2 linked regions of the Macaca mulatta genome follow. The protein of the gene in region 2 interacts with the protein of the main gene of each other region in a biochemical or structural test. Links are inferred from orthologs where the notes say so. Each region holds a gene or a part of one and is shown on either strand. Other genes may lie near its edges.

Evidence for each region.
Region 1: the proteins of CBX5 (region 2) and CHAF1A form a complex in vitro, tested with the Homo sapiens proteins (2 studies listed by BioGRID). The link is inferred for Macaca mulatta from reciprocal best matches to the Homo sapiens genes CBX5 and CHAF1A.

What each region holds. Positions count from the first base shown.
Region 1 is NC_133424.1:5,262,204-5,265,854, reverse strand, and holds part of CHAF1A (chromatin assembly factor 1 subunit A), read right to left. Parts: intron 3,585-3,651; coding exon 3,358-3,584; intron 2,808-3,357; coding exon 2,639-2,807; intron 2,538-2,638; coding exon 2,457-2,537; intron 1,576-2,456; coding exon 1,483-1,575; intron 179-1,482; coding exon 1-178. UniProt on the Homo sapiens protein: Acts as a component of the histone chaperone complex chromatin assembly factor 1 (CAF-1), which assembles histone octamers onto DNA during replication and repair.
Region 2 is NC_133416.1:61,432,377-61,436,027, forward strand, and holds part of CBX5 (chromobox protein homolog 5), read right to left. Parts: intron 265-3,651; coding exon 164-264; intron 1-163. UniProt on the Homo sapiens protein: Component of heterochromatin that recognizes and binds histone H3 tails methylated at 'Lys-9' (H3K9me), leading to epigenetic repression. In contrast, it is excluded from chromatin when 'Tyr-41' of histone H3 is phosphorylated (H3Y41ph).

The DNA.
Region 1 (3,651 bases), on a different chromosome or scaffold from region 2:
CTGCGAACTGCTGCAGTACCTTCAGGTCGTCGCCTGCGCAGTCTCTGTCAGCTGCCCACACGCAGCCAATCTTGACGGGCTGCAGGACGCGAAAGCGCTTCCCCTTAGCCAGGAACTCATCCCACTCCTTGGCCTTCAGTTTCTGGCGGACCTTATGGTTCTCAGGGTCGGCACACTCCTTGTGGGTTAGAAAGCAGAAGTTTATTTGGGGTTCATGCTCCCCTATGCCCGGGCACTCTTTTGAGGTTCCAGTCTCAGCTGGCTGGGGAGCCAGAGGAAAGGACAGGGGCGCAAAACTCACAGTGTCAGGGCCAGGGCAGAGCACACCGTGCGCTGGCTGCCCCTCTTCCAGATGGAGTAATTCACACCTGGTCTCCTTTGGGAGAGTCACAAGATATTTCTGAGCTCACCCATGAGGCCTCTTTTAACACCCCTCTGAATTTCTGGTGAATGTGTGATCGTGGAGCTGTTTAACAGGGTCGGGTGCCTACCCACATGGCCCGGGCATCTGGCAGACACATGTAGGGCCTGAGACCACTCTCTGACAGACAGTTCAGGCCTTGGTGGTCAGATATGCACAAGGAATGCATAGCCCTCCAACACAACCATGAGACAGTCCCACCAAATCCCCACTTCCCAAACAACAGGCCTGAGATACTCCCACCAAATCCCATTTCCCAAATGACAGGCCTTCAGAGCCCCAAAACAACTTGCTTGAAAGAAAGTTCCTGCCGGGTGCGGTGGCTCACCTGAGGTCAGGAGTTCAAGACCAGCCTGGCCAACATGGTGAAACCCTGTCTCTACTAAAAATACAAAACTTAGCCAGTTGTGGTGGCGCATGCCTGTAGTCTCAGTTACTCGGGAGGCCGAGGCAGTAGAATTGCTTGAACCCGGGAGGTGGAGGTTGCAATGAGCCAAGACCAGGCCATTGCACTCTAGCCTGGGTAACAGAATGAGAGTCCGTCTCAAAAACAAAAAAAAGAAAAAGAAAGAAAGAAAGTTCCACAACCTTACGGAATCCAGAAAGGGGTGGCAGGCAGGTTCACCTGCAGAGACGTGGGGAGTCTTCTGGAGAGACAGGGAAGTTCTATGTTTTATTTTGGGTGGTGGTTACCCACATTCACTTGATTGTTGTAAGTCATCAAATGCAAACTTATGATGCACACGTCTTGCTGCATGCTGACTGTATGTCAGCTAGGGTGGTTTCCAGCCTTCTAACCCAGACCACGGCCACGCTCCCTCACCAGGGTGTCTCCTCCTATGGCTCCCCTCACTTGCAAGCTCCTCCTCTGTCTGCCACCCTTCCAGGTAATACCAAGTTCAGGCCCAGCCATTCCCACAAGTGAGCTTGCTTGCTGAGAAGGCAGTCCAAATCTCGTATGGCTGGGCTGGGACCCCCGTCACCCTGCCAGGTCAGGCCACTGAGCACCAGTCCGGAAATGAGCTTTTTCTGAGCCAGTGACTCCCTCTTCACTCCCTCACCTCTGTCACACCTTCGTCCTCAGACAGGTACCCATGGGGCACAAAGAAACCATCGTCCTCATCTTCATCCTCTCCCATGTCGTCGTCATCATCCTCAAAAGGAGAAAAAAAAAAAAGAGTTCAGCAGATAGAAAAGCAGAGTATATGCCTTGTTAAAAACATAAAGTAGGCCAGGCGCAGTGGCTCACACCTCTAATCCCAGCACTCTGGGAGGCTGAGGTGGGTGGATCATCTTAAGTCAGGAGTTCCAGACCAGCCTTGCCAATATGGTGAAACCCCGTCTCTACTAAAAATACAAATCTTGGCCGGGCACGGTGGCTCACGCCCGTAATCCCAGCACTTTGGGAGGTCGAGATGGGTGGATCACGAGGTCAGGAGATGGAGACCATCCTGCCTAACATGGTGAAACCCCGTCTCTACTAAAAATACAAAAAAGAAATTAGCTGGGCGTAGTGGCGGGCGCCTGTAGTCCCAGCTACTTGGAGGCTGGGGCAGAAGAATCACTTGAGCCTGGGAGGCAGAAGTTGCAGTGAGCTGAGATCACGCCACTGTACTCGAGCCTGGGCGATAGAGTGAGACTCTGTCTTAAAGAAACAAAAAAATGTAAAGCTGTGAACATCTGCTCGGCATGGCCTCCTGACAGACACTGTGAGCGTCGGCAGAAAGCCCACTAGGTCACAGCAGCTGGGCAGTCAGGTGGAAATGGTGCGTGGCAGGCCGGCAGGAGGCGAGAGGGGGCTGTGGGGCCATGGTGCAGATGCGGATGGGCTCCCACCCCCAGCAGCCATGTGGGCGAGTGTCACCAGATGAGATTTTGGGAGAGGAGGTACGTTCGGGTTTCAGGCCGCACAGCAGGTCAAACACCAGCTGTCAGTGAGTGAACACAGCTGGGCTGCGTCCTTAGCCCCTCACTGTGGGACAGGGACTCAAATACAAGCCATCTGTCAGTGAACACAGCTAGGGCACATCCTTACCCCCTCACTGTGGGACAGGGACTCCCCGGGCTCCTCTTCTTCCCACTCCTCATCACTGTCCACCTCATAGTCGAGGAGCTTCTGAGAAAAGAAACACACGGGACTCACAGCTGCCTTCGGGGCTGGAGGAAAGGGGCACAGTGAGGAGATGCAGGGACAGAGGCACTCCGGGGCCGGCTCACCGTGTCCTGGGCCCAGGGGTCTCGTGCGCGGATGAGCACCGTCTTCTTGTTCCAGGTACCCCAGTAGGCCGGCCGGTGGTTCTCACAGAACTGCAGGAGCTTCATCCTGCCAAACTTCCTCCTCTCGGGAACGCCATCGCCCTTCCCACGCTCCACTATCACGACGTCACTGAGAAGGAAAACCCCAGGCTCAGGATTGCGCTGCCTTACAGACGTGCTCACAAACCTCTCGGGAACCTCCCAGTGAAGATGGCCTAACAATTCTAGAAAGATGGGCATTTGTTAAAAAGCAGCATTGCCTATCCCCAAAGAAAGGTCAGGAACATGGACTGGAAGGACAGACGGAGGAGGGTGCAGCCTGCAGGGGAGAGGGAAGAAGGCTGCCCAGGTGCAGCTGCAGAGCATTTTTACCAAGGGAGGTTCTGTGGAAACAGGAAATTTGCAAGATGGGGGGAAGGGAGGGGTATCCTTCACTGGAGACCAGCAGGGAAGTAAGATTCCTCCGGGAAGAGCAAGGAAGACAGGGAGAGGAAGACTTCAGGGGCTCACAGGAAGGCCAGGTGGAGAGAGGCCTTAGTCAGCACCGAAGTCCAGGGCCCGAGGGCACTAGGAGGCAAGCAGCAGAAGGACCCCAAGTTCCCACCTCGGGGACCCCAGGGTTCAGGATGCTGCCCTCCAGCGTCACTAGTGGGTGAAGGCCAACCTCCTCAGGCTCTGACCTGTTAAAAATATCTGCATTCCGGGTGGAAACCTGGGTGGGTCCGGACCTCAGGGGCCGCCGGCCTTTGAGGTCTTTCAAGAAGGAGAACTCGCCGCTCTGCTGCTGGAGGAGCTGGTCTAGCTGACTGCAGAGGTCTGGATGGAAGGCGGTCCGACGCCGAGGGGCCAGGACCATGTGCTCTTTAATTTCAAAGGGGGCAAACTTCCCACAGGAGCCGGCCAGGGTCTGAAATCAAGAAGAGACCCGATGGGGTCTTCCAGCAATGGGAGAAAGGAGGCACCATGGACGCACA
Region 2 (3,651 bases):
CAGCCTGGGCAACAAAGAGCGAAACACTGTTTCAAAAAAAAAAAATCTCTGACATTGAAAATTCATGGTTTGGGAATACACAATCTTGCCACCCTATCTTCCGCACAAATTCAAGTCACTGGCAAAGAAACACAATTGTAACATGAAGCCAAATCTCTCTCACCATTTCATTAGGAACATTAAATCACCACAGGAATCTGTTGCCCCAATGATCTTTTCTGGTTCCAGTCCTCTCTCAAAGCCCCGAGCGATATCATTGCTCTGCTATAAATAGAAGACGAAGAAAGGTTACAGCTTGTGGAAAGAGTAAAGAAACTCCCTGTTTCTAGGCTCAACAAAACACAACCTAAGTTAATATCTCCTGATATCATTTCTGTCACCAATTCAGAAAAATTTTTAGAACTTAATACTAAGTACTGACAGTGACAATGAAGTGACAGTGATGCCAAGAGATATTTTTGTAAGATGTGATTATCGGCCAGGCACGGTAGCTCAAGCCTGTAATCCCAGCACTTTGGGAGGCCGAGACGGGCAGATCACGAGGTCAGGAGATCGAAACCATCCTGGCTAACACAGTGAAACTCCGTCTCTACTAAAAAATACAAAAAACTAGCCGGGCGAGATGGCGGACGCCTGTAGTCCCAGCTACTCGGGAGGCTGAGGCAGGAGAATGGTGTGAACCCGGGAGGTGGAGCTTGCAGTGAGCTGAGATCCGGTCACTGCACTCCAGCCTGGGCGACATAGCAAGACTCCGTCTCAAAAAAAAAAAAGATGTGATTATCTTTCCTGGAATTCCTCCAGAAGATTGGAGGTGAACCCTAAAAGTCTCTAATGTCCTATAAGATATTCTGGAGTCAGCCAGGCATGGTGGCTCACGCTTGTAATCCCAGCACTTTGGGAGGCCGAGGCGGGCGGATCACAAGCTCAGGAGTTCAAAACCAGCCTGGCCAACACGGTGAAACCCCATCTCTACTAAAAATACAAAAACATAGCCAGGCGTGGTGGCAGGTGCCTGTAACCCCAATTACTCGAGAGACTAAGGCAGGAGAATTGCTTGAACCTGGGATGCGGAGATTGCAGTGAGCAGAGATCGCACCACAGAATTTCAGCCTAGGCAACACAGCAAGACTCCGTCTCAAAAAAAAAAAAGATACTCTGGAGTCAACATCTAGGAATTCCTCTAATCCCACTCACTTGGAATCTCCTTAATATTGTAAATAAGCTTCTGAAATGTTAAAGAATACCCTGTTTACCCTAACTATATCTTTTCATCTTATGAACTTCAAATATACTACCTCTCTCTCAATCTTTATTTTTTTAGACTTTTAGTTTACCTTAACACTAACCAATAATTTTAACACATTTCACAGTCGCCTATATTTATGAAAGAATAGAGATAAGAATTATGCAAGGCCAATACTATTAAATAGCAAAATTTCAGAGATCACAAACACCAATACTTATATGCTTGGTTGGACAGAAGGCCCTGGGTCAATGCCTATCCCCTCTGGATGTAGATGATTGCTAGCATTAGAAGGCAGAACTGGACTGTGATTGAAAACAAAAACAAAAAAGAAAACAAAAACAAAAAACTGGCTTGGTGCAGTGACTCATGCCTGTAATCCCATCACTTTGGGAGGCTGAGACAGGAGGAGACTGGAAGTTGGAGACCAGCATAGGCAACTGTCTCTGTAAATTAGCTGGGCACAGTGGTGCACACCTGAAGTGTGCTACTCCAACTCAGGAGGCTGAGGCCCAGGGCCCAGGAGTTCGAGGCTGCAGTGAGCTATGATCATGCCACTGTGCTCCATGGTGGGCAACATAGTGAGAACCTGTCTCTTAAGACAGAAAGAAGAAAATTTGATAATTGATGAGATGAGTACTGAAACTTGGTCTAAATGCAGTAATACAATCTAGACAAGGAGCACAGGTTCTAATCCAGGTGTAATAATACTGATGAGAGCCAAAAAGCAAAATTTTATACAAGCCAGGTAATTTTTTTTTTTTTTTTGAGACAGTCTCCCTCTGTTGCCCAGGCTAAAGTGCAGTGGCGCAATCTCGGCTCACTGCAGCCTCCGCCTGCCAGGTTCAAGTGATTCTCCTGCCTCAGCTTCCCGAGTAGTTGGGATTACAGGTGCATGCCACTGCACCTGGCTAATTTTTCCATTTTTAGTAGAGATGGGGGTCTCACCTTGTTGGCCAGGCTGGTCTCAAACTCCTGGCCTCAGGTGATCCATCCCACCTCGGCCTCCCAAAAGTGCTGAGATTACAGGCGGGAGCCATCACACCCAGTTACGCCTGACTAATTTTTGTATTTTCAACATGGTTTCACCATGTTGACCACACTGGTCTCGAACTCCTGGCCTCAAGTGACCCACATGCCTCAGCCTCCCAAAGTGCTGGGATTACAGGTGTGAGCCACCACACCCGGCCTAAACTAGAGAATTTTTAAAAACTTTATTATGGAAGATAATGTTAGCCTCTCCAGTGACAACACAAAAAAAAGATTTAGAGGTGCCCAAATGAACTAAATATCTACTGCCTGATTTTCATAATAAAATCTCTTTGATCTTATGTTCACTTGCTTTCCTCTGAGACATACAAAGCATTTGGGGTCCGGGTGGTCCCCAAAGATACCAAAATCCACAATTGGAAGGAAATTCCATGCATGGATCAATGAGAGATACTGACTTTTAAAAACATAGCCTCTTTTAGGGGCGCTTACGGGGAAGAAGTTCCCAGATGTTCACACAGCTGCTCACAGCTGGAATGCTGGCACATGGACTAAGTTGTAAATCATAACTGGCAACTGAAAATAGTTTGCTACATAGGGAGGGAAGGGGAGGCAAATGGAAGAAAAATGTTCAAGTTGCTGAAAAGGAGCCGGGGCGAAGAAAATGCTAAAATCATCATACAGGCAGTAATCTTAAATCAGGCATAATGCAAACTAACAAATTTCTTCTCCAGGGGTCTTAAAAAAGATACACAATCCCCTCCTGTACCTTTAAAACATACAATCACCTATCATCTCAGCTGTCTACCTGACAGCAGCCAGTACTGCTAAGAATGCTATCAGGGGCCCCAGATGAACATTATGATGTAAGGGACATGTGGGGGTTGTTTTCAAGGTTGGCAGCTTCAGAACCTGGCCTAAGAACAAAAACTCTCTGCACTGGCCAGTGCTTCTAAGCCAGATTATTCAGACAGCTCCTTTTTAAAAATGACAGAGGCCAGGCGTGGTGGCTCACGCCTGTAATCACAGCACTTTGGGAGGCCGAGGCAGTTGGATCACCAGGTCAGGAGATTGAGACCATTCTGGCTAACATGGTGAAACCCTGTCTGTACTAAAAATACAAAAAATTAGCCAGGTGTGGTGGCATGTGCCTGTAGTCCCAGCTACTAGGAAGGCTGAAGCAGGAGAATCGCTTGAACCCAGGAGGCAGAGGTTGCAGTGAGATCGTGCCACTGCACTCCAGGCTGGGTGACAAAGCAAGACTCTGTCTTAAAAAAAAAAAAAAAATTCTAATTTTACTGGTCTGGGGTGCATCTTAGGCACTAGAAATTTTTTCAACGTACCCCCCAGGTGATTATAATGTGTAGACAGGGTTAGGAACTAATGTTCTAGAAAGGTATATATCTAATTACAATGAA